2 linked regions of the Tamandua tetradactyla genome follow. The protein of the gene in region 2 interacts with the protein of the main gene of each other region in a pairwise test. Links are inferred from orthologs where the notes say so. Each region holds a gene or a part of one and is shown on either strand. Other genes may lie near its edges. The genes, in order: LAX1 and GRB7.

What was found.
Region 1: the proteins of GRB7 (region 2) and LAX1 interact in binary tests that used the Homo sapiens proteins (3 or more experiments, as listed by UniProt). The two-hybrid records come from large-scale screens. The link is inferred for Tamandua tetradactyla from reciprocal best matches to the Homo sapiens genes GRB7 and LAX1.

What each region holds. Positions count from the first base shown.
Region 1 is NC_135330.1:61,100,948-61,116,366, reverse strand, and holds the start of LAX1 (lymphocyte transmembrane adapter 1), read right to left. Parts: upstream 6,657-15,419; 5' UTR 6,410-6,656; intron 5,993-6,409; 5' UTR 5,899-5,992; coding exon 5,810-5,898; intron 3,111-5,809; coding exon 3,001-3,110; intron 2,558-3,000; coding exon 2,447-2,557; intron 1,164-2,446; coding exon 1,078-1,163; intron 1-1,077. UniProt on the Homo sapiens protein: Negatively regulates TCR (T-cell antigen receptor)-mediated signaling in T-cells and BCR (B-cell antigen receptor)-mediated signaling in B-cells.
Region 2 is NC_135332.1:27,548,585-27,563,531, reverse strand, and holds the start of GRB7 (growth factor receptor-bound protein 7), read left to right. Parts: upstream 1-7,210; 5' UTR 7,211-7,380; intron 7,381-8,036; 5' UTR 8,037-8,045; coding exon 8,046-8,094; intron 8,095-9,054; exon of another isoform or gene 9,055-9,096; intron 9,097-11,479; coding exon 11,480-11,636; intron 11,637-11,738; coding exon 11,739-11,889; intron 11,890-12,073; coding exon 12,074-12,230; intron 12,231-12,367; coding exon 12,368-12,489; intron 12,490-12,581; coding exon 12,582-12,659; intron 12,660-12,957; coding exon 12,958-13,095; intron 13,096-13,425; coding exon 13,426-13,536; intron 13,537-13,749; coding exon 13,750-13,848; intron 13,849-14,052; coding exon 14,053-14,133; intron 14,134-14,237; coding exon 14,238-14,354; intron 14,355-14,513; coding exon 14,514-14,574; intron 14,575-14,687; coding exon 14,688-14,775; intron 14,776-14,882; coding exon 14,883-14,947. Other genes in the region: ERBB2 (receptor tyrosine-protein kinase erbB-2), read left to right, coding at 1-159; MIEN1 (migration and invasion enhancer 1), read right to left, coding at 1,583-1,666, 1,747-1,823, 2,226-2,323, 2,426-2,514. UniProt on the Homo sapiens protein: Adapter protein that interacts with the cytoplasmic domain of numerous receptor kinases and modulates down-stream signaling. Promotes activation of down-stream protein kinases, including STAT3, AKT1, MAPK1 and/or MAPK3. Promotes activation of HRAS.

The sequences.
Region 1 (15,419 bases), on a different chromosome or scaffold from region 2:
AAAATTCTAAAAACACTACAGGTTCTAAACCAAATATGTCTATGGGCTTGAGGCAGTGTGAGATCTAAACTCTAAATGCAAAATCCCCTCAGGTCCCACCCAAATTCTGGAACTAGCTTTGGCAATGGTGTTTCCTCTTCCCTGCCCTTTATCAGCTGCTCAGACTTGCTGCCCCAGGAAGTCTTAAGAGAAAAGAGGAAAAGGAAGAGGAGGAAGCAAAGGCATCGAGGTGGAGGTGGCTGCAGAGTAAATGAAACTTAACCCCTGGGTAAAGAGAGTCTGGTTGGGTAACAAAACCATCAGTGACAGTGCTACTGCACCTGACCAAGGATGACCGCAAAACAGAAGAGATTGATCCTTTACCAAGCAAATATGAACTTATCTTTGAAAATGAGCATCCTGATCTCCAAAGGGGTCCCTTTACTATAAATTAGTTGTCTCTGCACAAAATTATTATTGGATTCCTCCTCGGAAGCTGCCTTCAGGGCCAGGTCATAAGACACAGGCTTATTGTTATTAATCATAATCTTCTCTTTGTAACCTCAAAGGTATCTCCAGTGTGATCCAACACTTTATACATCACCAACAGTGCTGAATGACTGACGAATATTTCTATGGTTGAAGATACTAGAAACAGCATAGCATGGGCCCTAGAAGTAATTTCCAAACCAAGATTGTAAGCATGTTTGGAGTGTGGACAGCACTGCTGGGATATTTGTGTACACTTCTGAAGTGGTGACTTGGAAGAGGACACACGCATTTGCGTAAGCAAGTTAGCATGCCTTTGTTAGAGCAATCAATTTCAGTCCTAACGTCATGTATTTAAATACATGTGTCTTGATGCTTTTCTTAAAAGGCTAAGCACTCGTTTCTGTCTTTCTTTAATTTTCCTCCTTGGGCAGTAGGGTGGTCCTGCAGCTAGTTTTCCCAAGTTAGTAATAGGGCTACGGAGCGCGAGCCAAAGGGCACACTGTCTGTGGTGAAAGGAGATGCCAGGCCTAGAATGCTTTTGCCTCAGTTCTTCTCTCAGAGATACGTCCTTTCTCACAAGGGTTTGTCTTTTCACTTAGCTCTTACCACGTACTCAGGGGAAAGGCTATCAGAATTCCTGGAGAGGAGGCTGTCAGTACTGAACACTCGGATACTCCTTGACTGGTGTCTTCCTGAAAGCACAGAGAACAAATTCTGAAGATAGTTAGCCAGTCCTTTGAGGACTTTGCACCCTGGGTGAAACTGGGTGTGTGGGGTGTTTGGCATTTCCAGCCTGTGGCCTGGGGGTCTGTGAAAGGGGCCCATGCTCGGGGGTTGCAACCCTGGGCCCCTCCTCGGCTTCTGTGGTGCTGGAGGACACCAGCACAGGGATTGGGGGTGGTGGGAAGGAAGCTTATGTGGAAGGCCCACCAGCCTTCAGTCCTGGTGGCCGTGCTCTCCTCCCGCATGGCTTCCCCATGCTGTTCTTGGACAAAGGCCATGGATTCTTTTGCCCGATGCACCCAGTAACCAATTCCTGAGATGTCAGGGTTTCAAAGAGTTTATTACTAGGCTCAGAGTAGGAGAGCAGATGGCCTAGCAGCCCGAAATCTGTCTCCCTGAACAGCAGTAATTCTGACAGTTTTATAAAAGAAAAAAAACAGGGTTTAGGATAATGAGCACAGAGGCCCCAGATGATATAATTAGTGGTGATTTACTTATTGAGCATGTGCATATTGATTACATGCTTAGTCACAGAACATGTGTAAGAAAATGGCGGGACAAGGTACAGGTGACTTGTAGATTAAAATCTAAGCTACTGTGCATAATCAGGCAGTCCCACTTTGGTTAGGTCCAGTCTCGGTTATCAACATAACTTTGGACTTGGAGTAGGTTAGCTCTGGGCTGACCCATGACCCTTCATTAATAAACATTAGGGACTAATTTTAGTGATTGCAAGAGTCTAAAGTAAAAAAACTGGATAACTGGGTATGAATGAAGGTTAGTCACAAGATTTTTACAGTCACAGGGGCAGAAGATCAAGGCTATACAATCATTATCAGAGATCCAGGCAGCAGGATTACAATTTAGAGATTTCAGGGATTTCCCTCTGTCTACTCCAATATACCAGAAAGCAAAAAGGAATATCTAGATAATGATTCAGTAATCAAAATCATCCCTCAAATCCTGATTTCTCAGTTATGACACCTAGACACTCCCACCTTTCCTCTGCTAACTTAAGCTAAGGAAAAACCAAATCTCCCAACCCAAGTGAGTCTCTGCTTCCTTTTTAGAGTTTCCTAGGCCCCCACTGGAGCTGTATCTTGCCGTCTGTCTGTCCCATTCTCCTTGGTGCTCTCTGAAAGGGAGACAGGTTTGCAAGGTCAGAGCAAGTCACTTCTGAGTAGTGAGAGGGGCCTCCTGGGGAGAGAAGTTCAGTGTGTCTGGACTCCCCAGGTTAGAGGGAAGAACTCACCCAGCTCTTCTTGCCTCCGAGGCAAGAGGTCATAAATATTTTTGGCTCGTTGTCTGGGTCGAGGCAGGGTCAGCAGGGGCAGGAGGGTGACTTGGAGGTAAGGAACTGGCCCTGCAAGGCAATGGGTGAGGGGGGTTGCTGCAGGGGGCAGAGGCACAGAACAAAAATATTCCCCACCCTCTCCGTGAATCATAAAATACACATTTTCGGATTTGGCCAATCCCATTTGATCTAGAAGAGCAGGGGACTCAGTGGACAGAAGGGAAACCTGGGGCATAAGTGCACCAGGCCAATGACTTTCAAAATGGAACTCACATCAGCCCTCAGCATTTCCGTACCGCTGGTCAGTATCTCGAGTGAGACAGAGAAGAACAAAGAATCCAGGTGTCGGATAAGAAGGGAGGATCGCCCACCCCTTCCCCGCCACCCGTGCAATCGTTTATCCCTGGAAAATAACCTGGTGAGGGAGAGTAGATGGGCAAAACTGTTTTTTAAATGTCGAATTTGATTATTAATCCTAGAGTGTCTCAACGCGGGACGAACAAAGGACTCACGCTTCTTCCGCTTATTCCAGTTCCTCAGGATGCAGAAAACCACAATGACCAGGAGGACGGTGAGGAAGGCAGCAAACCCGAACAAGATGCCGCTGCTCTGGCCTTCACGTCTAAAAAAACAAGCGCCGCACCCCATCAGAGGAGGGCGAGTGATGGAAAGCCCAGGTGGGAAAGGCCGTGCGGCAGAGAGAGGGGCCACCTCTAAATACTGACTTCGCAGAAGGATGGAATTTAGACACAGGATAAAGGGAACCAACCCCCCCCCCCCCCTTGAATGCCTACTGTGTGCCAGGGTTTCCATGTGAAACCTGTTTAACTTTTATAATACTTTCTCCCTTAGTGGTCAAGGAACACGAGATTCAGAGTAAGAGAGGTAAGGTAACAACAAAGACCACCCAGCTGCTAAGTGACTGAGACGGACTGTGATTCTAGATCTGCTCAGGTCCAAAGGTCATGCCCCACCCCACCCCACCCTGCCCCACTGTCCTCCAAACCTAGAAAGTCAAGTCCTTCTGCTCGTGCTTCCCCCATTTCCTGCTCTTGGGCTTTCTGGCTTGCACGGAAAAGAGGATGATGACCCAGCTCATCATTAGGGAGTGGCTCTGTGACAGTTCAGCTTGTATGAACTTGAGTAACCACCACATACCAACATGTGGAACTAGTCTCCAAGCAACACTCTGCTGTTGTGTGAAATTTAACCAATGCAAATGTACTGAACGAGTTCTGTGCTACTTTGTAATTCCCAGCAGGGCTGGAGGTAATACTATGCTTTTCTTTGGTGTTGAAATGCATCCAGGTGAGTACAACCCAGGCAGCTGCGCCTACTGTAAAATGAAGCAGCCAAGTGAGTAGAAACAGGAATTCAGTAGCAGTCTTCCTACCCTCATAATATCAGAGTCATCTGCCAAGGAGGGTTTTGCCCTCCTGGGTTCTAGGTTTGTTTATCCAGCTTTTTCCTAGACATTTCTACTAGGCTACCTGATGGACATCTCAAGCCAAATATATCCAAAACTTCTGTTCTCCCCATGAACCTGCTCCTTCCCAGTATCACTCATTATCTGATGGCTCAAACCCTTGGAGCCATCAAAATCTTGGAGCCATCCTTGATGGCTCTTTTTCTTTCATGCCCCACTTTCAGTCAATCAGCAATTTCTGTCTGCCCGACACTGGGCATCAGTCACAAACTCTTCCACCTCTTACCTACTCCTCTGTTCCCACCTTGGTCTAAGCCAAAGTGAACCTTTGCAAAACCTCCTTCGCTGGACTCCTTGCTTTCACTTTTGCTCCCAACCTACTATCTTCACACATGAGCCAGTGTGGTCCTTCTCAACAGTAAATCAGATAATGTACCTCCTCTGCTTGCAATCCTCCATGGCTTCCCATCACACTTGGAATAAAATCCGTAGTCCTGACCTAATGAGAATTTAATTAAGACACCATATGGTCTGGCTTCTGTCTACCTTCCAACCTCATTTCCTACTACTTGCCCTCTGACTTCTGTACCTTGACCACTAAGACGCCTTGTGGTTCCTTGCCTATGCCAAACACAGCCTCGTAGACCCACTGCTCCTGCTCCTAGGAGCCCTCCTCTCCCAGCTGTGGGCATGGCTCACTCCCTCAACTATTCGGCTCTCTTTTGAAATGTCACCACCCCAGGCATGTTTTCCCTGCCCACATCTTATTGCTCTCTGTCTCCTTACCCTGCTCTATTTTTTTTCATAGCATTTATGACTGATTAATATTATATTATACATTTATATATTCACTGGTTTATCTGTTTATCATTGGCCTCCCTGCCTTGACTGTCAGCTTCTCGAGGTCAGAGATTTCTGGAGATCTATCCTGCTCACCTAGTGACACTATGCTTTTCTTTGGTGTCGAAATGCATCCAGGTGAGTACAACCCAGGCAGCTGTGCCTACTGTAAAATGAAGCAGCCAAGTGAAGTAGAAACAGGAATTCAGTAGCAGTCTTTCTACCCTCATAATATCAGAGTCACCTGCCAAGGAGGTGCCTGGGAACAGTGCCTGGGGCTCAGCAGGGGCCTGGTGAATATTTAAGTGAATGAGTGAATTTTAACAAATAAATCAATGAATACAGAAATAGTTTGGGGGTCTGCAGGGTTCTGACAACTTCCATGTTTATATCTGCCTGTGAGTGGAATGTTTTTGTCATAGTAATAACAGTTATTTCCAAAAACTATGACAACCTTAAAATTTATTGTCATGGGATTCAGTTATCATAGCACTGACATTTATACCTATGATATTACTAAAGTTTCAAGTATTGATGGATATTTGATGTTTCACTTGTATGAGATTGAAAGCTTTAGCATTAAAATTTACATCATGGATTAGTTCTGTGAGATTTTATATCCTAAAGACATGTCTTTATTACATCTATTATTAATTTTTTAATTCATGGCAAGTCTTTAGGACCTAAAAACAAATCATTGGGGAAAGTGGGTCTTTTTGTCTCCATAATCATGGGATAGGATAGGATAGACTGAGGACAGAGATTAGGGTCTCTAAGAAGTGAGAAAAACAGCTAGGCCAAGCATCTGGCTCCAAGGAAATCCTGTGTTAGCATAGCTTTTCCTCTCCCCCAACAACTCCCTTCTCTCCTCAACATCTCTTCCTTTCTTCCCAGCATCTCTGGGCAAACTTCTCTGAACCCAGAGTTTGATGGTCTCAGTGGACCTGAGCCTGATTGTGAGCGTGGCTGCACAGCTGTGTTAGAAGCCCTCAAGGGCAGATTAGGACCCTGTGTTTGGTCAGGGATGGTGGAGCTGACCTCCCTAAGTCACTCACCCGTTCAGGTTGCCAAGAGTTGCCCGCAGAGTGCTCGGCTCCAAGGTCCTTCCTCTGATTTCTGAAAGGGTTGGGGTGATGCCATCCATTGTCACAGGGTTCAGCTTCTCCTAAGACTTCTCTTGATCATAATCAACCAGCCAACATGCTTGTCTCTTTTCCTGGCTCTTCCTAAATTGCTGACTCTCAAGAGAGAAGGCAAATTGGTTTGTGTTTCGCATATAGTCCTGTGGGGGTATAACTACTCTGTTAGCAATGATGTAAAAATGACAGAAATTCTCATCTCCATTTCTTCCAAGTACTCCCTAAATCATAGCTTTTACTCTCAAGATTTCTTGTTCTTAAAGCCTTGACTGTATAATTTGGCAAAATCTAGAGTGGAATTATTAAAAAAAAAAAAAGAAAGATTCCTTGTTCTTAAATGTTTATCACTTTTTAGTCTTTCTCTCAAAAAAAGTCTTTTGGTTTATATTTTTTTCTAAAGCGCACAATCTTTCTTTCTAGAACTTTCTTTCCCCCAACAAACTCCCCGCCCAGTCCTTGCTCCTGAAATGTCAGGCTGAGTTGACGCAACATGCAAAAACGACAGGTTGGTTCTACCTGGAAGTGGCTATGATGGCCACTGCAGAAGGTGAGGTCTTATCCCAGCACTGGGCTCGTGAAGCAGGTGGCTCAGCGAGCGTCCATGGTCTCTGCCTTCTGGTGGAAGGGCGAGGGGTACAGAGAGGGGAACTGCCAAGAACCCCAGGAGAGGCTCCATGGGCAGCTCATTCCCCCACCCTTAAGCTGAGAGTCAGAATGGAAAGAGAGAGTCAGTCACAGGAAGCGACACCAACCAATGTGTTAATGAAACATGGGGCACAGGAAATGCTGCTCAGCTTTTAATAAGAGCAGAAAACATGTCTTCCACCCACCCTGCGCCTCCCAGGTGCTTGTGGTCTGGATGAGTGTGATCAAAAGTGGGGCAGCATGGTGGGGGTTTTGTGATTGTTCCTCCAGGGTTTCTGAGACATTTAGAGTTTTGTAACCTCTAGGTTAATATGTATATGCAGTAGATCTAAGGAGCACGGGAGGGTGCTTTTTAGAAACAATTGCAGATCTCTGGCACTGCCTTTCTGATTCAGTGGGTGGAGAATGCAAATGTGGCCAGCTAAATGGCTTTTCCAATAGACGCGACTTTGTGATTTTGGTAGAGATGGTCTGTTTTTTCACTTTTTGAGAAATGTGCTCTGGGTATTACACCAAGAATGGAGCTAATACTGGGTTCTTAGGCCCTTGGAGGCTAATTCTCCCAACTGCTGTCCCTGAAGTTCTGCTTTCAGAGGTTCATGACCTCAAAGGCTCCTGCAGACTGCTTATCTCCTGTTCTCAGGAGTCTTGAGAAAAATCTATAACAGTTTTGCTTATTGGACACCTGTCTCAGAAGATGTGTAATTCATCCCAGGTGTCTACCCAAAGTATCCCAACTTCAAAGATAGCTCAAGATTTGTTTCTAACTCTCTTTCCCTCTTCTCTCTACCAGTCTACTCTTTGCATCCTGGAAGTGCTCCAGGAGAAAGGGTACTAAGACTATTTTGAGGATGTGAAGTAGAGCCTTCACCATCCCCAGTAGACATCAAGGTGTTCTGCTTCCCTGAGCCATAAGCCCCTGCCCTGAATCCAGGCTCCCGCAGGCTCCCTGTGATGGTTTGACACAGAAAATATCATGTTCTTAAATCTAATCCATTCCTGTGGGTGTAGACCTATGTAGGTGGGACTTTTTTTTTTTGAACATTTTTTATTTTGAAATGCATAGCCAAAAAAGCAGTAAATTTCAAAGTACATCGTAGCAAGTAGTAGATGTACTACTTGCTAGAGCAGATTTCAGAGTTTATGAGCTACAGTTCTCCAATTTCAGGTGTTTCCTTCTAGCTGCTCTAAGACACAGGAGACATAAAAAAATCAATATAATGATTCTGCAGTCATACTCATTTATTAAATCCTATCTTCTCTGTTATAATGTCTCCTTCTCCTTTGATCCTCCTCCCAATCTTTAGGGGTATTTGGGCTCTGCCCTTTCTACCTTTTTCATGTTGGAAGGGGTATTGATAATATGGGGCAGAGGGATGGAATCAGTTGATGTTCTGAAGAAGCCCCTCTGGGTTTCAAGACTTACCTGGCCTAGGAAACTGTCTGGAGGTTGGAGGTTTCTGGAAAGTAATCTTAGTTTGTGAAACTTTTGTAGAATCTCAAATCAAGCTCTAGGTGTTCTTCAGGTTTGGTTAGAATGGTTTTGGTTGGGGTTTGGCAAATCGTGGTAATTAGCAACATCTACTTAAAGCTTGGTTACCTCCAGCATAGCCTCTTGACTCTATTTGAACTCTCTTAGCCACTGAAACCTTATTTGTTACATTTCTTTTTCCCCTTTTGGTCAGGAAAGCATTGTCGATCCCAGAGTGCCAGGACCAGGTTCGTCCCTGGGAGTCATGTCCCACATTGAGGACCTTTTGATGAAGTTATTTTGATCGAGATGTGACCCGCCTCATTGAAGGTGGATCTTACTCCTCTTATTGGAGTCTCTTATAGAGCATAAAAGACAGACACCATGCAGAAAAAAGCCCCAGAGAAGCTAAGAAAGCCAGAGAAGATGAGAGAGAAGGGCACACAGAAGCTCAGAGAGGAAGTCACTGAAGCCAGAAGCTAGAAGCTGAAGAAAAAGGAGAGACCAGCAGACATTGCCATGTGTCTGGCCATTGACAGAGAAATTGAGGATCGCCAATAGTTGATCTTCTGGGAGAATATATCTTTCTTTTGATAAATTAATTTGGACATTTTTTATGATCTCAGAACTGCAAACTTTTAAGTTAATATATCCCCATAGCAAAAAGCATCCCATTTCTGGCATACTGTATTTCTTCAGCTTTCGCAAATTAAAACACACTCCCACGGGCTGCAGATTGGCCCTGGAGGCTCTCCTGAGGAACTCTGCCATTCCAGGGCCTACTGCCTCCTTCCGAGGAGCTTTGGCTGGCAGGAAGCAAAGAAGACTTAGAGATGGCTGTCCCAGGTGAACCCAGGTTCTGTATTGACTTCTTCTGTGGATTGGGCATGAGGAAGAGCTAGGACTTTCCCATGAATAAGATCCTTCATTCCATCACACTGGTGACTGGGACTGGTGAAAGAGAGAGGCTATCTGTTTGAGTTTGCCACAGCTGCTAGAAGGGACCACACAAGAGATAGGTCAGCTTTATTTTTTTCTTTAAGATTTTTATTGATAAATCTTCACACACAATCGTCTTCAAGAATCAAGGCTACTGGAACACAGCTCAACAGTTTCAGGTACTTCCCTCCGGCCACTCCAATACACCATAAACTAAAAAATGGATATCTATATAATGCATAAGAATAACTTCCAGGATAACCTCTTGACTCTGTTTGAAATCTCTCAGCCACTGAAACTTTGTTTTGTCTCATTTCTCTCTTCCCCTTTTTGGTCAAGAAGTCTTTCTCAGTCCCTTAATATGGGGTTCCAGTTCATCCTGGGAGTTTTGTCCCACCTTGCCAGGGAGATTAACACTCCTGGGAGGCATGTCCCATGTATGGGGGAGGACAATGAGTTCACCTGCTGAGTGGGCTTATAGAGAAAGGCCACATCTAAGCAACAAAAGAGATTCTCTGGGGGAGACTCTTAGGCCTAGTTTTTGTGTGTGTGTGAGTTTTCAAGTTTTTTATTTCAGAGAAATATCAAGATACAAATGTTTTTACAATTCACATATGAAAATTTTATCTCTTAGGATATCATAACATTTAAAATATTTTTTATCTAATTTTATTATAGCTGCTTGTGCTTTCTTTTGATTACAGCTTTCATAGAACATTTATTTCGATCCTTACACTTTCAAGCTGTTTGTATCCTTGAGTCTAAGATAAGTCCCTTCTGAGCAGCATAAAGGTAGATCATATTATTTAATCCATCTGTCAATCTGTGTCTTAATTAGTGAGTGTAGCCCATTAACATTCAAAATTATTACTGTAAAAGCAGTTCCTGGGTTTAGCATCTTATTGTATATCTATAAATATGGTAGAGTTTCTTAAATTCTAAATATTAAGTGCTAAGAAATAACTTAGACCTAATTTTAAGTAGGCTTAGTCTATCCTTTTCAGGAATAAGTTTCATAGGGGTGAACCCCAAAATTGTGGGCTTGGCCTATTGATTTGGTTATCCCCACTGCTTGCGAGAATATCAGAGTTTCTCCAAATGGGGAAGTTGAATATTTCCTCCTTTCTCCCCATTCCCCCAACGAACCTTGCAAATACTTCTTTACTCATCGCCCAAGTTACTCTGGAATATATTGGGGCATCACATTAGATAGATTGGCTTTTAATGAGGGGATTTATTTGGTTAAAAATTTATAGTTCTTCTGAGGAAAGGCAGCTAGCTTTCATCTGAATTTCTCTGTCATATGGGATGGCACATGGTGATGTCTGCTGGCCTTCTATCCTGGCTTCTGGGTTCCAGCGACTTTCCCTGGGGTGATTCTTTTCTATGTTTCCAAACATCTGGGCTGAGCTGTGAGTGCTGAGATGAGGTATGTTGAGTTGTTTTGGGCTGTGTTGCATTGAGCTCTCTTCTGACCTCTCTCTTTTAAGCCTCCAGCTAATTAAATTAAACCTCACTCATTATAGAAGGCATGCCCCTTAGCTGATTGCAAATACAATCAGCCATAGATGAATTTCACATACTGATGATTTAAGGCATCAGAAACAGAACAATGGGGCATCATCACCTGGGCAAGTTGGCACCGAACCTAGCTACCACACTACCCCATCCTGAGCCATTGGAGCCAGGTCTGGTAAGGGACTGTGTATGACCAGGAACTTGGAACAGGGTAAGGTGGGTAGAACCAAATCTCAGAACCACATCTCCTTCCACTTAGGAAACCTGATTGCTACTTAAGTTTTTTTTTAAAACTACAACAACTTTCTCCTACATGTGACCATTTCAGAGCCTCATTTCTCTTATTTACTCAGCTAGCTCCAAACAAAGTGATATTCCCTCTGGTCTTCTGATCTCTCTGCATCCAAACTCCCTCCTCAAAGGAGGCTACGCAAGTCTTTTGCTTCCAGGCTGCAGACTTGGCTGATCTCTCCTCCATCCTGCTCTCCTTTCCCTACCAATGGGGCAAAACCCAACCAAACTAACAAATTAAAACAGAAAGTAGGTGTCTGAAATTGTTAATTGTAATAGTGGAAGAAAACCATTTGTTCCTGGGATAGAGGGTGTATGTCTTAAAACTGTTTGCTCTAATGTTTCCCTTTAACCCCTTTTAATGTTGTTAAATGTATGATTATAAAATATTAAGATTTCTGGGGACGGGCTTCACACTGATTCGGTGATGTTGCTAACACAGAAAACCTTTCAGAAGTCCTCTTTGAGAAGACAGAAGCGGTGGTTAAGAGTTTCAACCTGAATTCAAATCATAAATTACTATGTAGAGAATCTTGGGCAGGTCATCTAATCTTTCGGGTATTTTCTTGGAAGTAAAATGACAATAATAATAGTACTTGCCTATTGGTTAACAATGAAAGATGCTTGATATTTGTAAAAATGAAGACAAACTGCCTGGCTTTGGAGTTGATGCATTACTTTCCCTGCTGCTAAAACAAATACTGCAAAAAAGCTTGGCTTAACAACAGGAATTTATTGGCTCATGGCTTCAGAGGCTAGAAGGTTTTTTTCATCCTGAGTCTGGTATCTGCTGGTTGGCCACCAGTCTATGGGGTTCTTTCATGTAGGCATTTTCCGTCACATGGTAGTGCACATGGTGGCATCTTCTCCTTTCTCTTCTAGGTTCTTTTGACTTCAGGCTGTTCCCCATGGCTTCTCTCCATCTACTTTCACTCTGCTTATAAAGGACTCCAGGGATCTGGATTAAAGCCCAACCTAATTCAGATGGACCACACCTTAAACTGAAATAACATCTTAGAGAGTTCTTATTTTCAATGGATCCACACCCACCAGAATGTGGGCCAAAACCAATAACGTGTCCAAACGGGGGTATGCAATTCAAACCACCACAGTTGGCATGTGCAAAAGCTATTAAATGGGGACTGCTACATATTATTCTGACATTAGCCTTATTTTCTTTATACTGAATAAACTGCCTTCTTTGGCCTTTCTTTTTTTCTCTCTCAATGCTTGCTCTGCCTTCCATTTGTCACCTTCTTCTTTCAACACATATTTATGAGAAGTCTCCTACCTCAGGACACTAGGCACTAGGTTTGTAAATAACAGAGATGAGGGTTCCTGCCCTTGTAGAGTGGCCTGTCTTCACTCACCACCCCTCTTCCATGCATGCTGCATTTACATGCAGACCTAGTCATTGTCACTTTTGCACTCTGAGCCTTTGGACGAGTTCACTCATTTTAACATGTTTCTTTTTCTCTTGCTAAATTCCAGTAAAATCACATTTTAAAGATAATACCAGATGTTCAGGGGAAAGGGGAAGAGAGATGAACAGGTAGATCACAGGGCATTTTGGGGGCAGAGAAACTGTTCTGTATGATACTGTAATGGTGGATACATGACATTATGCATTTGTCAAAACCCATAAAACCATACAACACGAAGAGGGAACCCTGATGTAAACTGTAGACTTTTGTTATTAATAATGTATCAATATTTGTTGATCAATTATAACAAATATACCACACTAATGCAAGATGCTAATGGTAGGGGAAATTTATATGTGTGTGTGAGGGGAGAGGATGGCTCTGTAAACCTAAAACTGCTCTAAAAAATTGAGTGTATTTTTTAAAAAGTTAAAAAAAAACTCTATTTAAACAAAAAGTTTATTCGGGTTATTTCTGAGTGGTGAGTCTTTGGGTATTTTGTTATTTTCTTTTTAGCATTCTTTTTTATTGCTTGAATTTATTATAATGAGCAAGTGTGATCTTTATAGCAAAAGAATTTTTTTTTGTATGGACAGGCTCCAGGAATTGAACACAGGTCTCTAGCTCGGCAGACAAGAATTCTTGCCACTGAGACACCTTTGCACTACCCAAGTGTGATTTTTATAAAAAACAAAATTGTTATTAAAAAAAAGAGAGAATATGACTCAAATGTCAGCACCTCTGGAAAGCTTTCCTTTCCCAAGCCCTGCATTTTTTCTCTCCTGCAATTAACTCCATGCCACTCTGCAAGCAACTTTTTACAGTGTCTCAAGTTGCTGGGAGTACTTGCTTAGACACTCCCTGAGTGGACTCTGAACCCTTTAATGATAGGGACTGTGTTTCATTCTTGCTTACCTGTATTTAGCACAGTGCCTGACCGTAAGGGTTAATAAGGCCCTCAGAGAAGTTCTCTCAGGTGCTTCTTGCTGCCTTGAATTTATAACATACGTTTGTAACAGGGTGAGATACTGAAAAATAAATCAGTATCTAGTATTGTTTTCCTGCTGTAACTCATCAACCAAAGAAACCCAAGACAATCCTTGCACAGTCCTCCTCGCCCCTCCAAGGAAGGACAGCTGGGGCTTGTGTGTTTGAGCTGCTTTGTCCTAGGGAAGGTATTATTAACTGCAGCTTTTTGTATTTCTAGGCCAACAAATATCCAAATTTCCTTGTGAGAAAGAACCCCTCAATTAGACTTTGTTTTTGAAGGTTTCAGGGAGGTCCGAGATAATCAAGGCAGAAGGACAGGCAAAGCCTTCGTGGCGGCCACCCCAACCCTCCTCATTCCTTTGCCTGCATCTTAGAGGCCTTCTCCAGTCCAGACAAGTCTGAAGCAGAAAATGAAGGCAGCAGATACCTTTCTTTTAAGTTAAAAGTTGTGAGAGAGCAGGGTTAAGTCAGAAAGATTTAGAAACTACTCTTGATGAGCCAGAGTAATTTATCTGTCATTTCTCTGTTCCCTACACGCCCTTTCTTCCAGGACCCTGGGGAAGAATGACGAGAATTCAGAATCAAGGAGTACAGCCAGGCTAGAGGACAGTAATTCTAGGCTCCTTACCCCACAACAGGCCCTTAGGCGGAGCTCCAGCGGAGGAGGTAATTTGATACTTCTGACAGCTAAGAGTCCGGGAGCCCTGAGAGCAGAGTGGACGTCTGCCCCCAGGTCCTTCTGCAGTTCTATGTTTGGCAGCCTCTCCAACACCCCTTGAGTCATACTAGCTGGAAAGCCACAGCGCAGAAATGGCTGCAAAGCATGTCCAGATGAGAAAACATCTGCGGACAGCTCCAAGACTTCCCTCATCCCCAAAGCTGTGCGAGAGTGGGTGTCCCTCCCTGAGGTCATAGGCAGATTCTGAACTCAAGGTCAGTTAGGAACACAGCCAAGGGAGCAGGCGAGTGGTCAGGAAGGAATCAGATGTGGGCACTGTGTGTCTCAGGGGGACATGGAGGGCAGAGAGCCTGAACAGAGAAGAGACAGATCAAAGTGGTTTTCCTTGTTCTCTTCTTATGTGAGTGAATATCACTTTACTCACCAGGGCTTCCTGAACAGGCTATATATAGCAAGCAATATCCCTTAATTAAATTCATAGCTTTTTGAATATCTTTTTTTTTTTTTCTGCTATTCTGTGTGTTGTAGGAACCACAGCACAGCAGTAGGGCTTGGATTTACCTCATCCCTTAGCAGGAGCCTCAGCCCATGTATGGCATGTGTACTAGCTAAAGCTGCCTGGTTTGTTCATTTTTCCCTAGACGGCAGCCACTAACCAGCAGGGTGATTCCCATTAAACTACAGGATGGATCATTGCCGTTCTCTGCTTAAACTCTCCAGTGAATCCTTATTTCACGAAAGCCAACCTTTTAATGCTTTGCAGGTTCTTCCCCCCCACCCCCACACTCCTCCCTCTCTGAATGTATCTCCTTAACTGACCCACTTAGTCGTTCAATTACAAACGTGGAATTGCATGTCCTTAGACTAATCAAGGTCTCCTGGCTCAGGGCCTTTGCACTTGTGGTATCCTTTGCTGAAATCCTTTTCCTTGGCAGAGTGACACAGGTCTTCCTTCAGGTCCCATCACAAATGTCTCTTAGTCAGAGAGGCCTGACTACTCTACACGAAGAAGCAACACCCATGCTCCTCTGTTCTCTTTACTCCACTTTTCTTTTTCCCCAGTCCTTACCACTATTGATCCGATATGTATTTGTTTCGTCTCTTCTCCACAAGAATGGAAGTTCAACAAGGGCAGGAATTTAGCATTGTTTTCTGTTGTATCCCCAGTGCATACAGTGGTGCCTGGCACAGATATTTGTTAAATGAGTGAGTGAACCAATTCAAGGGAAGGAGATGAGACCATAAAATTGGACTGAGAAAGACTTTTCAAAGATCTAGCTAGTTCAGTGTTAGATTTGACTTGATCTAGAAAAAGAAAAAAAGGATATTTCTTGCATTTTAAGGATTGTGGAACAATTTTTTTTTTTTTTTTTTTTTGCATGGGTAGGCACCGGGTAACGAACCTGGGTGTCCAGCTTGGCAGGGAAGAACTCTGCCACTGAGCCACCATTGCCCAAATCAAAAATTTGTTTTTGATTGCACATATTAAGTGGCTAAGCGCTAAGTGAAGCCTGCCTGCACATGTCTCTGAACACAGTGTTCCATGTACACAGAATGATGCTACATTCA
Region 2 (14,947 bases):
GCTCCTCCACCTCACCTTCCCCTTGCCTTCAGCCCAGCCTTTGACAACCTCTATTACTGGGACCAGAACCCATCTGAGCAGAACTCACCACCTACTACCTTTGAAGGGACCCCGACAGCAGAGAATCCCGAGTACCTGGGCTTGGACGTGCCTGTGTGAGCCAGAAAGCCAAGCTTGCCAAGGCCCTGCTGGGCCCTCAGGGAGTGGGAGGGCTTGACTTCAGGAGAGGAGAGGACCTCTGACCATCCAGAGGAGCATGCCATGCCAAGGACCTGTTCTAAGGAACCTTTCTTCCTACCAGCATTCCCAGGGGGCTGGGAGGGGCCCGGCCTGGTTGGAAGAAGGGGGAGCACCGGGGAGTCTTGAGTGCTTCTTCTGGAGCCCTGCCCTACCAGATTGTAGGGTCCAATGGGTGCCACAGACACAGTCTCTTCAACCTGGCCTTCTTCCAGATCCCTGGTCCCGAAAGACTTGGGAACGCTGGGCCTAGGAGGGGAAGAGGCCCTGGGGAGTTTCTGAGAACATGAGCAATCCAATCAGAAACAGTGCCCCTGAGATGCAGCTCTGCCCCGAGGAGCTTGTACAGAGTGCCTTCTTGTTTGTTTTTACTTATTTTTTGTTTTGTTTTTTAAAGATGAAATAAGGACGTGGGGGGAGAGATGATATGTGGAAGGGGTTCTGTGGGGTTGGGGAAAGGGATGTCTCCCTACTCCAAACCTACCTTTTCCATTTGCAAATATATTTTGGAAAACACCTGGGTCCCAGCTTATGTGTGGGAGTGGCTCTGTGCCATCCCTAACTGCTCCCTTCCTTAACCTACACTCAACTCTTCTCTTGGAGCGGGTGGCTTGGAATCTCCAGAAAGCTTGACTAAGGGGACTGATTTTCAGTTCCCTGGCTTGGGGGGAAGGGAGGCATTTAGGAAACTGGGAATTTCACAACCAAATCATTCTTGCTTAGAACTAATTCCTAAAGCCACCCACCAGAGTGGGGCAATTTCCTCCCTCTGGGTAAAGAGGGTGGGGGATGGGGGAGAGAAGAGGCAGTGTCTACTTTGTGACCCATTTTCCCAGCCTTGGCTGTCAGAGGAACCCACAGAACTAAGGAACTAGCTAGAAAAAGCCTACCTACCCAGCATAGCCACCCTGCTGGTACAGGTGCCCCCTGTACCACACATCTCTGTGCTGGACATAAAACACATACTAGTTGGCACAGTGTTTGTAGTGCCCTTTATTGCCAATAGTTGACACTGCCCAGAACTGAAGAATAAATTAAAACTACAGTGGCATCTGACAGTATTGTCAAGCTGAGGAAGAAACTAGGCTTCTGTGGGCACTGCTTATGAGTAGGGAATATAAGGGGTCTGTGGAAATGTCCATGGGGAGGATCTCCTGTCCCCAAGACCACAGAAGCTTCTATTCCCCTCCCCTCCCTTGCATCCCAAGGGGCAAAATGGAAGTCGGGTCTGTTGCTTTCAGGAGCTCAGTGACGGAAAAGAGGCAGAGGAGGAGCCCCAACAGAACCAAAGGGGATACCAAGGCTTGGTCCCCAGAACAGAGTAGGAACCCAGGAACGTGTGCAGTCACAGGATGACGCAGGGAGGACGGCTGTTGGTGATCTTTTCTAGAGGTTCTCCATTACTAGCTCTTCGGATGGCCTCAATAAGCTAGAGAGCAGAGATGGGAATGGTGTGAGACACTGTAGGGACAGTGACCCAGGGGTTCTCCCAACACTGCAAATACTCACGTCTTTCTCATAAGGAAAGCCCCCGTTCTCTAGCTTGGAGAACACCAGCTGTCCATTGATCTCGATCTCAAAGGCCCCTGGTATTAAATGGATGAATGAATGGTATGCGGGGAGCAGAGGCAGATATCAAAGAAGGCTCTCTAAATGGATCCTCCATGCCCCCCATTGGCCCCATTAGAGACTCATTTATAGCCCCTTCCACCAATGTTGAGCCCATGTTAAAGGGACCTAGGGAAGATCCACCTGTGTCCCTCTGAAGTCTTCAACACCCGGTGGTGTTCTCTCTCCCCAAAAAACTACACTTTGGCAGTCTCACCGGTTTTTCCCTACAGGACTCATCTGTCTCCCCCACCCCCACTTAGGCCATTTTACATTTTACTGCTGGACACTATTATAAACCAGACAATGTCAGAGCTAGAAAGTGGTAGCGCTGGGATTTGGAACGCAGAATGACTCAGCAGGTGTTCTAAGGGCCTTACCTGTGCCCCCCAAGCGTGACTCGATCTCGATGCCAGGATACTGCTCCTTCACGGCGCTCGCCAGCTCCAGGTAGGTCGCCTCGAAACCGCAGGGTTCACTGGGGAGAAGGGATCTGGGGTCGGCTGGGGCTTCGGGTGTGGGGCTTCCCGTGAACCCATTCCTGTCGGGCCTGGGGCCCCCACCGGCCAGGGACGCTCACCAGTACTCTACCACGATGCGGACCCCACTTCCCGGTTCCACCTCCCCGGAAGGGGGCGCCACGGATATTGGCCCCAGCTCCCCACTCATCGCTGCCCGCTCTGCTCGGGCCGCGGCTTCCGGGTGTGACGCGGCGGCGCGGGCACGTGACGGGGCGGGGCTGCGGGGCCGCCGGGCCGGAGACCAGCGCTGCATCCGGGCGCCCCCTGCAGGTTGCAGCCGCTGTTACGTAATGACTCTCGCCCCAGTTCGCGGGCTCGCGTCCGAAGCTCCGGGCTCCCGGCCCGGGTTCTCAGAGGGCCGGACTTGCCCCAAACCCGAGCAAAAATCTTAAGACTGAAAATCCCTTTCAGTTTACAAAAAGGAGCAGGAAGCGGTAGGGCGAGCAGCCCAGGGTCTTGGGGATGGGTTGGATATGCCTGATGGTATGTGAAAGTTACCATTGCTCTCACTTTCTGATGGCGTTTTTCAGCCGCTCCAGAATTACCTAGCCAGGTACCTCTGACTCGGAAGCTCTAAACTGCCTCTCTTCCCTGCACATGGGAACCTCAGGCTTTGGGGCACCCGTTCCTCGGGCGATGCTTCCATCATATGTGCCCAGTTCTGGCAGACTTCCATCTCATCCCAGCCTCTCAGTACAGGCTGGGATCATTATTTCCATTTTACAACTCTGGAAACAAGCTGCCTAAGTCCTCGCTGCTTATGGAGTACCAACTCAATATCTTAACAGATCTCCCCTCTCTAGCATTCCTTCAACCCATTCATTTTTAGCAATTCAGTGATTTAAAGAGTTATGCAACCATCACACGATCCAGTTTTAGAACATTTCCATCAGCTGGGAAAGATCCCTCCTGCCTGTTTGCAGTTAATCCATGTACCCAACTCCATTCTTACCTGGACATTTCATATAAACGGATCACACAGTATATGGTCTTTTGCTTCTGGCTTCTTTTATTCAGCATGGCTTTGAGATTCATCCATGCTGTAGCATGTATCAATAGTTATTCCTTATCATCACCGAGGAGTATTGCATTTGTTTATCCTTTCGCCAGTTGATGAATATTTGGGTTTCCCGTTTTGGCTAATTTTGAATAATGCTGCTATAAATATTCGTTATGTCTTTGTATGGACATAAATTTCCATTTCTCTTGGAGAAATTCCTAGGAGTGGAATTGCTGGGTTAAAAGGTAAGTTTATGTTTAATTTTTTTTTTCTTGTATGCTGTGTGGTGGGGTCACATTCCATTCTTTTTCCATGTGAGTATCCTGTTACGACAGCATCATTTGTTGATTTTTTTTTTTGGGGGGGCGGGAGTACAAGGGTAAAAGGGCTGGGAATTGAACCCCTGTCTCCCGCATGGCAGACGAGAATTCCACCACTGAACTACCCTTGCACCGTGTATGTTTAATTTTTAAAGAAAATGCCAAACTGCTTTTCCAGTGGCTGTACCATTTTACATTCCAGCTAGCAAGGAATGAGGATTCCAGTTTCTCCACATCCTTGTTGACACTTGTTATTGCCTGTTTTTGATTAGCTGTCTTGGTGGGTGTGAGGTAGTATCTCACTGTGGTTTTAATTTCCATTTCCCTGATGACTAATAATGTTGAGCACCTTTTCATGTGCTTATTTAGCTATTTGTACATCTTTGGAGAAATGCCTGTTCAAGTCTTTTGCCCATTTTTAATTGCATTATTTGTCTTTTTATTACTGAGTTTAAGAGTTCTGTGTGTTTTAGATACAAGTACTTTATCAGATATATATGATTTGCAAATAGTTTCTTCCATTAAGTGGGTTGTCTTTTCACTTTCTTGATGGTATTATTTGTAGCACAAAAGTTTTTCATTTTGACGAGATGCAACTTATCTATTTTTTTTCTTTTGTAGCTTGTTCTTTGCTGTATCTAAGAGCTCTGTCTAACTCAAGGTCCTGACAATTTCTCTCCTGTAGTTTCTTCTAGGAGTTTTATAGCTTTAGCTCTTATATTTAGGTCTATGGCCTTTTCTTTTTTCTTTTTTTTTTTATAAAAATGGAGGTTTGTGTTTTATTCATGTCCTGTCATCCTTCTTCCTGACTCCAGGGGTGAGGTAGGACGGTTGAGATGGGGGGAAGGGGAGAGAGGCAGGAGGGGGCAGACTACAGCTGCCCTTTGTGGCCATATTCCAGTGTGGTGACAATGATGTGAATTACAGCTCCATACTTCCAGCCCAGGTCTCCACATCTCTGTTTCTTGAAGTACCTGGTTGACATTCTCCACCATCGCAGTCCAGTGGCCTGTCTGCTTGGCATATTGGCAGCCTGGACTGGTCTTCGCCTGGTGGTCTTCAGCCTCTGGTCCATGGAGGACTCGGCCACCCCCACACAAGGTGATCCACCAAAGCTTGTCAGGCAGGTCGTTGCAGTAATGGCCTCTCCCTTCCTCTTGTCCTATAGTTCCTTGCGTTCATTCAGCTTGGCCTGGCACTCTTTCCGCAGACGGGGCCACCTGGGTGCTGGGCATACCAGGACCACCCCGTTTCCAGGAGCTGGAACCTGCACTTTGCTCCAGTGGGGCCTGTCTCACATGACTGCAGTCTCTGTGCTCTATTCTGAGATACTTTGTGTGCATGGTGTGAGGTGAGGATCTAAATTCATCTTAAAGCATATGATGTTAGATTGTCTCGGCACCATTTGTTGAAAAGACTATCATTTCCTCTATTGAATTGTCTTGACACCTTTGTAGAAAACTGATTGACTAGAAATGCTGGGGTTTATATTTGGACACTCGATTCTGTCCATGGATGTATAAATCCACTTTTTTGTTCTTGTTGCTTCTTCTTTATTATTGTTAAAGAATGCAGATACGATTTATACACAGTAAAACCCACCCTCTTGAGTGTGTGGTTCTGAGGCCTCACCAACACACACAGTTGTGCATCCACCTCCAGGACCGTGACACTGACCAGCCCCATTCCCTCCCCACAGGCCCCTGTGCCCTGCTCCCATCCCTGCCCCCCTCCCCATCCCCACACCTGCTTTCAACTCCCTTCAGAAGCCGTACACATGGGCTCCTACAGCACTCAGCCCTCTGAGCCTGGCTTGCCTCTCCACCCCATTCCTCTCTACCCAGAGTCATCTTTCCTAGATGTGAATCTGCCTGCTGCCCTGAGCCTGGCTTGCCTCTCCACCCCATTCCTCTCTACCCAGAGTCATCTTTCCTAGATGTGAATCTGCCTGCTGCCCTTTGCCTCCACTTAAGCCCAGATGGCCCCTGCAGGGCTTGGCCTCTGCCCACTGCTCCCACCAGTCTGGACGGACAGGATGAATTGCTCTTCAACCCTGTTTGCAATAACACACATTCCTGGGTCCCAGCCCCAGAGACTGACATTCAGCAGGTTGGGAGGAGACCAGAGATCTGTTTGTACACAGGCCCAGGGAGATTTAGAGGCAGGCGTTTCACAGACTCTGCTTTGAGAAACATAGCTGAGAGCAGTCCACGGCCCTTACCTTTCCCCACACCTGCCAGGTCTTACCTGTGTGGCCTCATCTCCTTCCCTTTTCCTGCACCTCCTCTCTGCCTCTCAGTATGGTCTCCCCACCTGTTGTCCCCCAGCTGCACCCCAGTCAGCTTCCCTCAGCTCAATTGTCACTTCTACAGAGAAGTCTTCCCCACTCCTGTGTTAGTCATTCTCCCAGCACAGTTGTCACCTGTCATTTCTTATTTACTGGTGTGAGCCTTGGTTAACCTCATTCTCCCAGACTGAGCTGCCTGGGGATAAGGGTGGGGTCTGTTTTTGGTGCTGATAGCATGGGGCTTATCAAATTTGGGGCGTATCAAATATCAGCTGAACGAAGGAGTGGATGCTTGAATTGTCTGTCCACTCTGCGTTTTGCACAGTATGGTGACCTTGTCTCCCTCTCCCACCTCTTTGCTTTGCCTAGTCATACTGATTTTTTTCAAGGAATGCCCAGTTTGGAGAAAGTTGAGGCTGGAGCCACTCCTCTGCTCCCCCAGGGCACACCTTATCATCCTGTGGGATTGTTTGTTCACCCAACTGTCAGCCCATCAGACTGGGAAGTCCTCAGCTGTCTGATCTCAGCGCCTCTCCCTGTCCTGTGCTTGCCTGAGTCTCAACGACCCAAAGGGGTCACTCTGCAGGGTGGCCCCTGGCGACCTGGTCAGAGCTTTCTCCATATCACCAGCTCCTCCAATCTCACACCTACAATTTTAGATAGGATCCCACCTGCCCCCTATAATTTAGAGGGGGGAAGCTAAGGGTTTGGTTAGGGTTTGATCAGAAGGGAGAACACTCTGGGTGCCCCTGAGGTCAGGGTGAAGCCTACGTGTGATGCAGCTGGAGGTGAACGGGCAGGCCATGGTGCTGGACTCCCCTCTGGCTGCCTCCTCTCCTTCTCAGTGTCCTTTGCCCGAGGAGGTGGGACCTGGAGCCCCAGACAGGCCCCCTAGCTTGGCCAATAAACAGGCCAGGTTTGGGGAGTGGCAGGGGGAATAGTGGGTCCACGGTTTCCTTTTATCTTCCAGCCCCCAGCCCTCAACCTCGCAGAGGTTGTCAGGCCTCTTGATTTTCCCTCGATGTTGTTCTGTGCCACTGTCTTCCCCGCCTCTCTTTGGGCACCTGCACCTTCCCCTGGCACCTGCTGCCAGGCTAGGAAGGGCGAAAACAATCCCAGGCGGCGTTGAGTGTCAGGGAGTCTCCGCCCCCTTCTCCTTTGCTTCCTCCTCCCAGGCCCCGCCCCCAGGCCCCGCCCCCACCTGCCCAAGATAATTTTAGCTTTCCTGGGCCTGAAGTCTGGACATACAGGGCTCCCCGCCGACTTCTACGTCCAAAGTTTGGACACCCTCCCACCACCTGTAGAGAAGCCGGAGCGGATTTGCAATCATACCCAAGTGTCCCCGGTTCCTAGACAGAGCCCGCCTTGGGACCCGGTGTCCGACTCCTCCTGCTGGGTCTCTTCTAGGTAAGGGGAACGAGATTGGTCCCAGACGACATCCCACCCCCACCCCTAGCTGCACCAGGGCCCCAGCCCGTGCCCGACGTGGGGCCAGCGGCTGGCTGGCTGGCTGCCCAGGTGTGGGGACAGGTGTGGGCTGGCTTTCCCGCTCCCCTTCCCTCTTGGCGGGGTCTGGCTAGGGCTGGGGGACGAGGGGTGGGGGGGACAGGTAGTTAAGGCCTGGCGTGTCTCCCCCTAAACCAGTGGTCCCAGCCAGGTACACCGTCATGCAGGGACCAGGTAAGGACCAGAGCAGCCACCTCACCTTGGGGGTGGAGACACCAGCCTGTTGGGGGTCCGGGTCAACCTGGAAAGCTTCTGCCTCCTGTTGTGTGGCTCCGGTGGCCTCACTGTTTTTTTTCCCTCCTGTCTCCCATCCCGCCCCTTCCTCCATCCTCCCCTACTCTCGTTTCCTGTCCTCCCAGCTCCTGGGTTTCCTCCCCACACCCCCTCACACCCTCTGGACATACCCGCTGATGGGGATGGGGAGGTAAGAGTTTGGATTCTTGCCTTTGGGAGATACCACTTTTCCCGCTGAAACTACTCCCTCCCCACACACCCTGCAAGAGAGGGATGGGTTCTGCCCCCACTACCCTCCCTCGCTCAGCCTCATTTGTCCTCAGTTTGGACAGATGTCTCCGCGGGAGCCCCCACCCCCACTCACAGGGCAGCGAAGGAAAGGTATTCTCTAAATTGCTGGGCCCCCATCTCAACTGACTGTGGCACCTGGGGGCCCAGGTCTGGGGGCCAGCTGCGGGACCCGGGGGTCTACCCGCAGCGGGCAGAAATTGGGGGGTGGGGCGGGGCAGGCCCTGGGCCCCTCCAGGCTTGGGAATAAAGTTGCCCAGGAAGGCTGGGGGGCTAAGCTGGGAGGGCCTGCTGGGTGGGACCTAGGGAGAGGGTGGGGGGCGTGAACGGTAGGCAACAGGCAGTCCCCCATTGGTGAGACTGGGGTCCGGGGCCTGAGTCTGCCTGGTGCACTGAGGACCAGGAATGCACCTGCCTGCAGGTGGGACGCCCTCCCCGCGGCCCCCGGGAGCCCCTCCCCCTCCCGGCCCGCCCGGCCTGGACTCTGCTGTCTCCTCTCCCCACAGCCGGCTGTAGGGTGGGAATGGGGGTGGGGGGGCATCTCCATAAAGGCGAGTGGCCTGTAATGATTAACTCCACAGACTGGGCCACACGAGACTTCTTCTTAAATTAAACTTTAAAAGAGCTGCCCCCTCCCCTCCAACTTTTCCCATTGGCTGTTTTCTTTCCTGAGTGAGGGTGTGGGCGGGGCCTCAGGGTCCTGGCTCCCCCCCCTCCCATTCCAGGTCACCTAGGGGTTTCCTGCCTCCTCCCCAGGGCCCTGCCTGGGCTAGCTTCCCCAAAGGGGAAGCCTCCCCCCGTCAGTGAATCCTGGGGGGGGGGGGGGAGGGCGGAGCGTGGAGTACCTGGCCAGGTGGGGCCCCCCCCACTCCCCCTGTATGCCCTCGGCGGACGCCTCTGCTCCTGCCCTGGGAAGTCACGAAGGTGGCCTTGTTTTCTGTTGGCTCTAAACACTGGGTCCTGTCACCCGCCCTTGGGGCAAGCCAGGTGGGGCAAGATTCAGGAAGTAAACCAGGAGGCTGGGCGGCCGGGCGGGAGGGTGGGACTGGAGCTGCAGGGGCAGGAGAGGCTGTTGGGGGAGCTGCGGCTTTGGAGGTACAGCGTTGAAGAGACAAACTGATTTCGGGGGTTGGTCTCTCCAAGGGACGCTTTCCTAGGGACCCAGTTTGTAAGCTCCAGATCTCTTGGGAGGAGGGGCTTCCCAGACCCCTCTGAGAGGACCCCTTTATCTCCACCCCGTCTGGGTGGTCCTGCCGGCCTCACTCCTTTCTGGCCCGGCAGGGGTGGGGGTGGGGGTCTGAAGAGTAGGTCGGAAGGAGCCTGAAGGCCTGAACCCGAGTCTTGAGCCTGCACTTTGGTCCTCTGATTTGGGACTATTCGGATTTGAATCCATGACACACCTCCCTGCCAAACACTGCCCTCCAGGTTCCTCCCGGGTGAGTGGGGAAGGACTGGGTCCGCTCCCCACCCCATGGTTGGGTAGCCCCTGCAGCCCCTCCCCGCTCCCCTCCCTGGAATGAGGTCATCTGGGCTCCATTGCCAGAGGCCAGCGGGGGCGGGGTTGGGGCATTGTGTTTTCCTGTTTCGGTACCTGATGTTTATGTTCTCACTGGGGTGTGTTTTGCACCCCCCCCCCCCCCCCGGGACTACCTCCCTGGCTGGCTCTCTCCAGGGCCTTCGCCCTGTCTGCTGGTCTCCACCTGCCCTCTTGGTGTTTTGACTTTCTCTTCTGGCCCCTGTGGTACCCCTTGGCCAGGACACACAGGAGGGGTGCGTGAGTGTGTAGGTTGGAGCCTCGTGACCTGGGGAGTGACACACACAGTTCCTTTTGGCTGGCTGAGTCCTGGGTGCTGGGGATGGGCCTCAGCAGCAGAGACCTGGTAGGGAATGCTGAGCGCTGCTCTGGGGAGGGATGGGGTGCCGCTGCAAGGCCAGCCCTGCTCCAGATGGGTCTCTGAATCCAGGCCTGGTCTTTCCTCTCTCCTTACTGGGCCAGGGGCTCCTGGGCTGGGTGGTGGCTTCAGGCCTGAGGTCAGGCCGGTTGTGGAATCCACCTGGACTGGGGGAGTCGGAGGTGGGAGGAGATGATGTCAGAGGATCCTCCACCAGGCATCCTCCTCCCTGCCCTGTGCCGCCCCCACTCCTCCCAGGATACAGTAGGTTGTGGCAGGGTGCAGGTGGGGGGGGGGGGGCAGAGGCAGAGCTGTTTGTGTTTCTCCTAAGCCAGGAAGTTGTGCAGATGAGTCAAGGTTGAATGGAGAGCCCAGGCAGTGCTGTTCCCACCCTGCCCTGACTCACCTGTCCCCCAAAGTCCCCCATGCTCTCACTTTAAGATCAGGTGTCTGCCCATCTTGGGGGCAATGCCAGGTACCCTAGGCAGCCTTTTAGGACTGGTCTGGCCAGTGTCCTGGGAGTGGACAGGGGCCTGGGAACCAGCTGGGATTGGCAAACTCTCCTGGGCAGATTCTCCCAGGACACAGCCCAGCCCAGGGGCCTGCTTGGTTCCTGCGGAGAAGGGGCCAGCACAGCCTCTACCCAGCAGTGGGCATCTTTTTCCCATCTTGACTTGCCCTGGGTGCCTGTGCAGCACCCATGGCTGGTAAGACACAGGTAAGACTGGTCTTGCCTGGGGATGTTGGAGTGTCAGAGTAGGGGGTGGACGAGACAGGCACACAGTCTTGGTGCAGAGGCCCCAGCACAGTGCTAAGAATGAGCTGACAGGCAGGATGTGGAAAACCCAGGAAGGCTGCTCGGAAGAGGTGGCACTGGGGCTTGAGAGATTTGGGCAGGAGGAGGTGCCTGGGTTGGGGTGCCAGATTTGGGGGCTGCTGGGGCAAAGTCCCTGAGGCGAGACCTTCCCCTCCCATCACAGCGAAGTCTGCCCTCCTGCCCTCCCGGTTCCAGTCGTGCCCTTCCCCACCCCCATCTCCCCTTCTGTGCATCACTCATCACTTGGGCAGGCGTTGCCACAACAGGCTCTGGCAACTGGGTCTGACAACAAAGCACTGGAAAAACCCGGGGCAGAGCCCAGCAGAGTGAGGGCCCCACGCTTGGAGGCAGAGAGGTGGCCCTTTGCACTGACACTGAGAGCCTGAGCCCCAGACAGTCTATGGGTTGTGCAGTCTTTGTTGCTGCTGCCAAGCTTGGGCAGGGGGAGGGGGCCCTCTTAGCCCTTTTTCCCTGGACAACTCAGGGCTAAAGGAAGAGCACTGAACTTGGAGTCCCAAACCAAGTTCCAGCCCCCTGACTCACCTGTAACCCAGGGCAAACATGCATCTTTCTCAGGAACTCCGAGTCCCCTTTTAAAAATTGGGGCCCGTTCTATCCTTCCCTGTGGAAAATCCAGTTAGAGGGGGAGCAGTGAGGTGCTGTGTGAACCCTGATAGCTGTGTGCAAGCAGGAGGTCTGGGTCCCCTTGGCCTCTCTCCCCAGGACAGGGACATATAAGTGCTGCATTCAGCTCCCTCTTCTCCCTCAGATGTCATGGAGCTGGATCTGTCTCTGCCTCATCTCAGCAGCTCCCCAGAAGATCTTTCCTCAGCCCCTGGGACCCCCCCTGGAACTCCCCCACCCCTTGATTCCCCTCTGCCCGGGGAGGTGAAGAAGTCCCAGCCCCTGCCTATCCCCACCAGCAGGTACAATGGGGCAGTGGGGCTGGGAGGGGCCGGGGAGGCAGGTCTACGCCAGGTAATATATAGGGGATGACAGCCGACTCTCCCCCACCCCGGCCCCCATAGGAGGCTTCGGGAGGAAGAGCTACGGGCAACCTCTCTGCCCTCCATCCCCAACCCCTTCCCTGAGCTCTGCAGTCCTCCTTCACACAGCCCCATTCTTGGGGGATCCTCCAGCACAAGGGGTCTGCTCTCCCGAGATGCCAGTCGCCCCCATGTGAGTTTTCCTGGGAAAGAAGGGAAGGCAAGAAGGGGGAGGGAGGCCCTGGGGTGGATACAGCACTACCTTGGGTGTGTGTGGATGTGTGTGGATGTGTGCGCGCGTGTGTGTTAGCACGTGGGGAAAGGGAGAGAACCATCCTTTGATTTCCCCCAGATCATTTGTAATCCCTGGGCTGCAGGTGGTCAAGGTGTACAGTGAAGACGGCACCTGCCGGTCTGTGGAGGTGGCAGCGGGCGCCACGGCTCGCCATGTGTGCGAGATGCTGGTGCAGCGAGCCCATGCCCTTAGTGATGAGAACTGGGGGCTGGTGGAGTGCCACCCCCATCTAGCACTGGGTGAGTTGGGGTGCAGAGGAGCTGCCTGGATGTGGGAGATGCCTCACATCTCAGCCTAGGCACGTGGGTCCTCTGGGGGTGGGGGTGGGGGGCCTGGCGGGTCTCCACTGACCCCTGTCCTTTGCCCTTGACCTCAGAGCGGGGCCTGGAGGACCATGAGTCCGTGGTGGAAGTGCAGGCTGCCTGGCCCGTTGGCGGAGACAGCCGCTTTGTCTTCCGGAAAAACTTCGCCAAGTATGAGTTGTTCAAGAGTTCCCCAGTAAGTGTGTGTGAAGTTCTGGGTGCTGGGACACCCCCATTTCCAGCTTGGGGACCCACGATCCCTGACCTCTGACGTCTTCCTTTCCCCAGCACTCCCTGTTCCCAGAAAAGATGGTTTCCAGTTGTCTTGATACACACACGGGCAAATCTCATGAAGAGCTCATTCAGGTGAGGGGACCCCCATTTCCCCTCACATTCATGCCCACGCCCACCCCTGCCCCAGCATCCCCCAACGCTTCCAGCCCTTAAGACCTGTGCCTCCCTCCATGAGGTGGAGAGCGCCCAGCTGCCTTCCGGGGCTGTGGATAAGCCACTTCCCTGGCTCGTGGTTCCTTCTCTGCAAAATGGGGACGATAAATGCACAGGGAGCACCTCCCCTGGTAAAGGGTCCCCTGAAGTCCTTGAGGTGGGTCCTGCCTATCCCCTCCACGCCTCTCACCCTCCGCCTGCTCTCCTCTGGCCTAAGAACTTCCTGAATGCGGGCAGCTTCCCTGAGATCCAGGGCTTCCTACAGCTGCGCGGATCAGGACGCAAGCTCTGGAAACGCTTCTTCTGCTTCCTGCGCCGGTCTGGCCTCTATTACTCCGCCAAGGGCACCTCCAAGGTGAGGGCTCTGTGCCAGCCCCAGCCCCAGCTGGGGCTTCCCACCTCTAGTCCTTCTAGAAGTCACCCACTCCCTGTCAGACCCGTGGATCACCCCTTCTGGGCCCTGAGACCCTCAGCTGCTCTGTCCTCTCCCCCGGCTGACTCCCTCTGGTTTCTTGCCCCTACCCTCCTGCCCAGCTTACCCGCATTGGGAAGGGCAGGTGTGCTGTGTGACCTCAGACGCTTCCCATCCCGTCTCTGGGCTTGAATCTTCCCCCCTGGTTTACGGGGCTGGTAATGGGGGCATTGGGTCTGCCTGCACCAAACTGGGCTCACTCATGCCGCTCAGGACCCCAGGCACTTGCAGTACGTGGCAGACGTGAACGAGTCTAATGTGTACATGGTGACCCAGGGCCGCAAGCTCTACGGGATGCCCACGGACTTCGGCTTCTGTGTCAAGGTGAAGACCCTGGCCTGGAAGGGAGTGGTTGCTGCTGTGGGTCCTGGATCCTACCTTGGGCTTCTGAGCTCCATTCTGGGCCACCCAAACTCTTCTCCCTGCGCCCTGTCCCAGCTGGAGAGCCGTTAAGTTCTGCCTTGCTCCATGGAGTTGGGGGACAGATGTCTGGTCCTAAAGATAGATCTGGGACCAGCTGCTTTCCTCTCCCTGTAGCCCAACAAGCTTCGGAATGGCCACAAGGGCCTCCGCATCTTCTGCAGTGAGGACGAGCAGAGCCGCACCTGCTGGCTGGCTGCTTTCCGCCTCTTCAAGGTGAGACCCTGCCCCTGGGATCCCTGGCATGAGGGGTGGCACAGCCCTGCTCTCTGAGCACCCCTGGTGCAAGGTCTGGAGTCCCAGCCCTGGCTTCAGGAAGTTCCCTACCCAATGGCAGAGACCCTGCCCTGCTCTTGGGAGTCACAGCCCGGCCCCAGGACTGCCTGACCTCAGGCCCTCTTTCTCTCCCCACCCCACTAGTATGGGGCACAGCTGTATAAGAATTACCAGCAGGCCCAGTCTCGCCACCTTCGCCCATCCTATTGGGGTTCCCCACCCTTGGTGAGTGTAGAGGGGGCACAGTGGGGGGGGGGGGTCCCTGGGTCCTGTCCCGGGGCCACCTCAGTCCTGTACTGACCCCCTCACCCCATCCTATCCCACCTCAGAGGAGTGTCTCGGATAATACCCTGGTGGCCATGGACTTCTCTGGCCATGCTGGGCGTGTCATTGAGAATCCCCGGGAAGCCTTGAGCGCAGCCCTGGAGGAGGCCCAGGCTTGGAGGGTGAGCGGCCTGCAGCCGTCCGCATGTCTGTGCTGGGACCCCCTCTCCCTATGGGAGGAAGAGAGGGGCAATGGGAGGGGGCCCCGGCTGGGGAAAGGGGATTTCATTCCGGAGGTGCCAGCCAGGCTCTGACTTCCCTCTGTCCCCCACACTCTGCAGAAGAAGACAAACCACCGCCTGAGTCTGCCCACCCCATGCTCAGGCACGAGCCTGAGTGCAGGTGAGGGCCCGGAGGCCTCAGGGGTTGGGGCTGCCCCGGCTTCTCCGAGCATTCCTGGGAGGGGGGGGTGGCAGACTGGGAGTGACTGTCCCCCTGCCTTCCCCCCGCCCCAGCCATCCACCGCACCCAGCCCTGGTTCCATGGACGCATTTCCCGGGAGGAGAGCCAGCAGCTCATCGGGCAGCAGGGCCTGGTGGACGGGTAAGGGACAGGACTGGGTGGGCCAATGGGCCCAGGGGCTGAGAGAGACCCCAGGTCAGGGTGGCAGCAGCGTGTCCTCTGGTGACATCGCCCCTGTTTCCCGACAGCCTGTTCCTGGTCCGGGAGAGTCAGCGGAACCCACAGGGCTTCGTCCTCTCTCTGTGTCACCTGC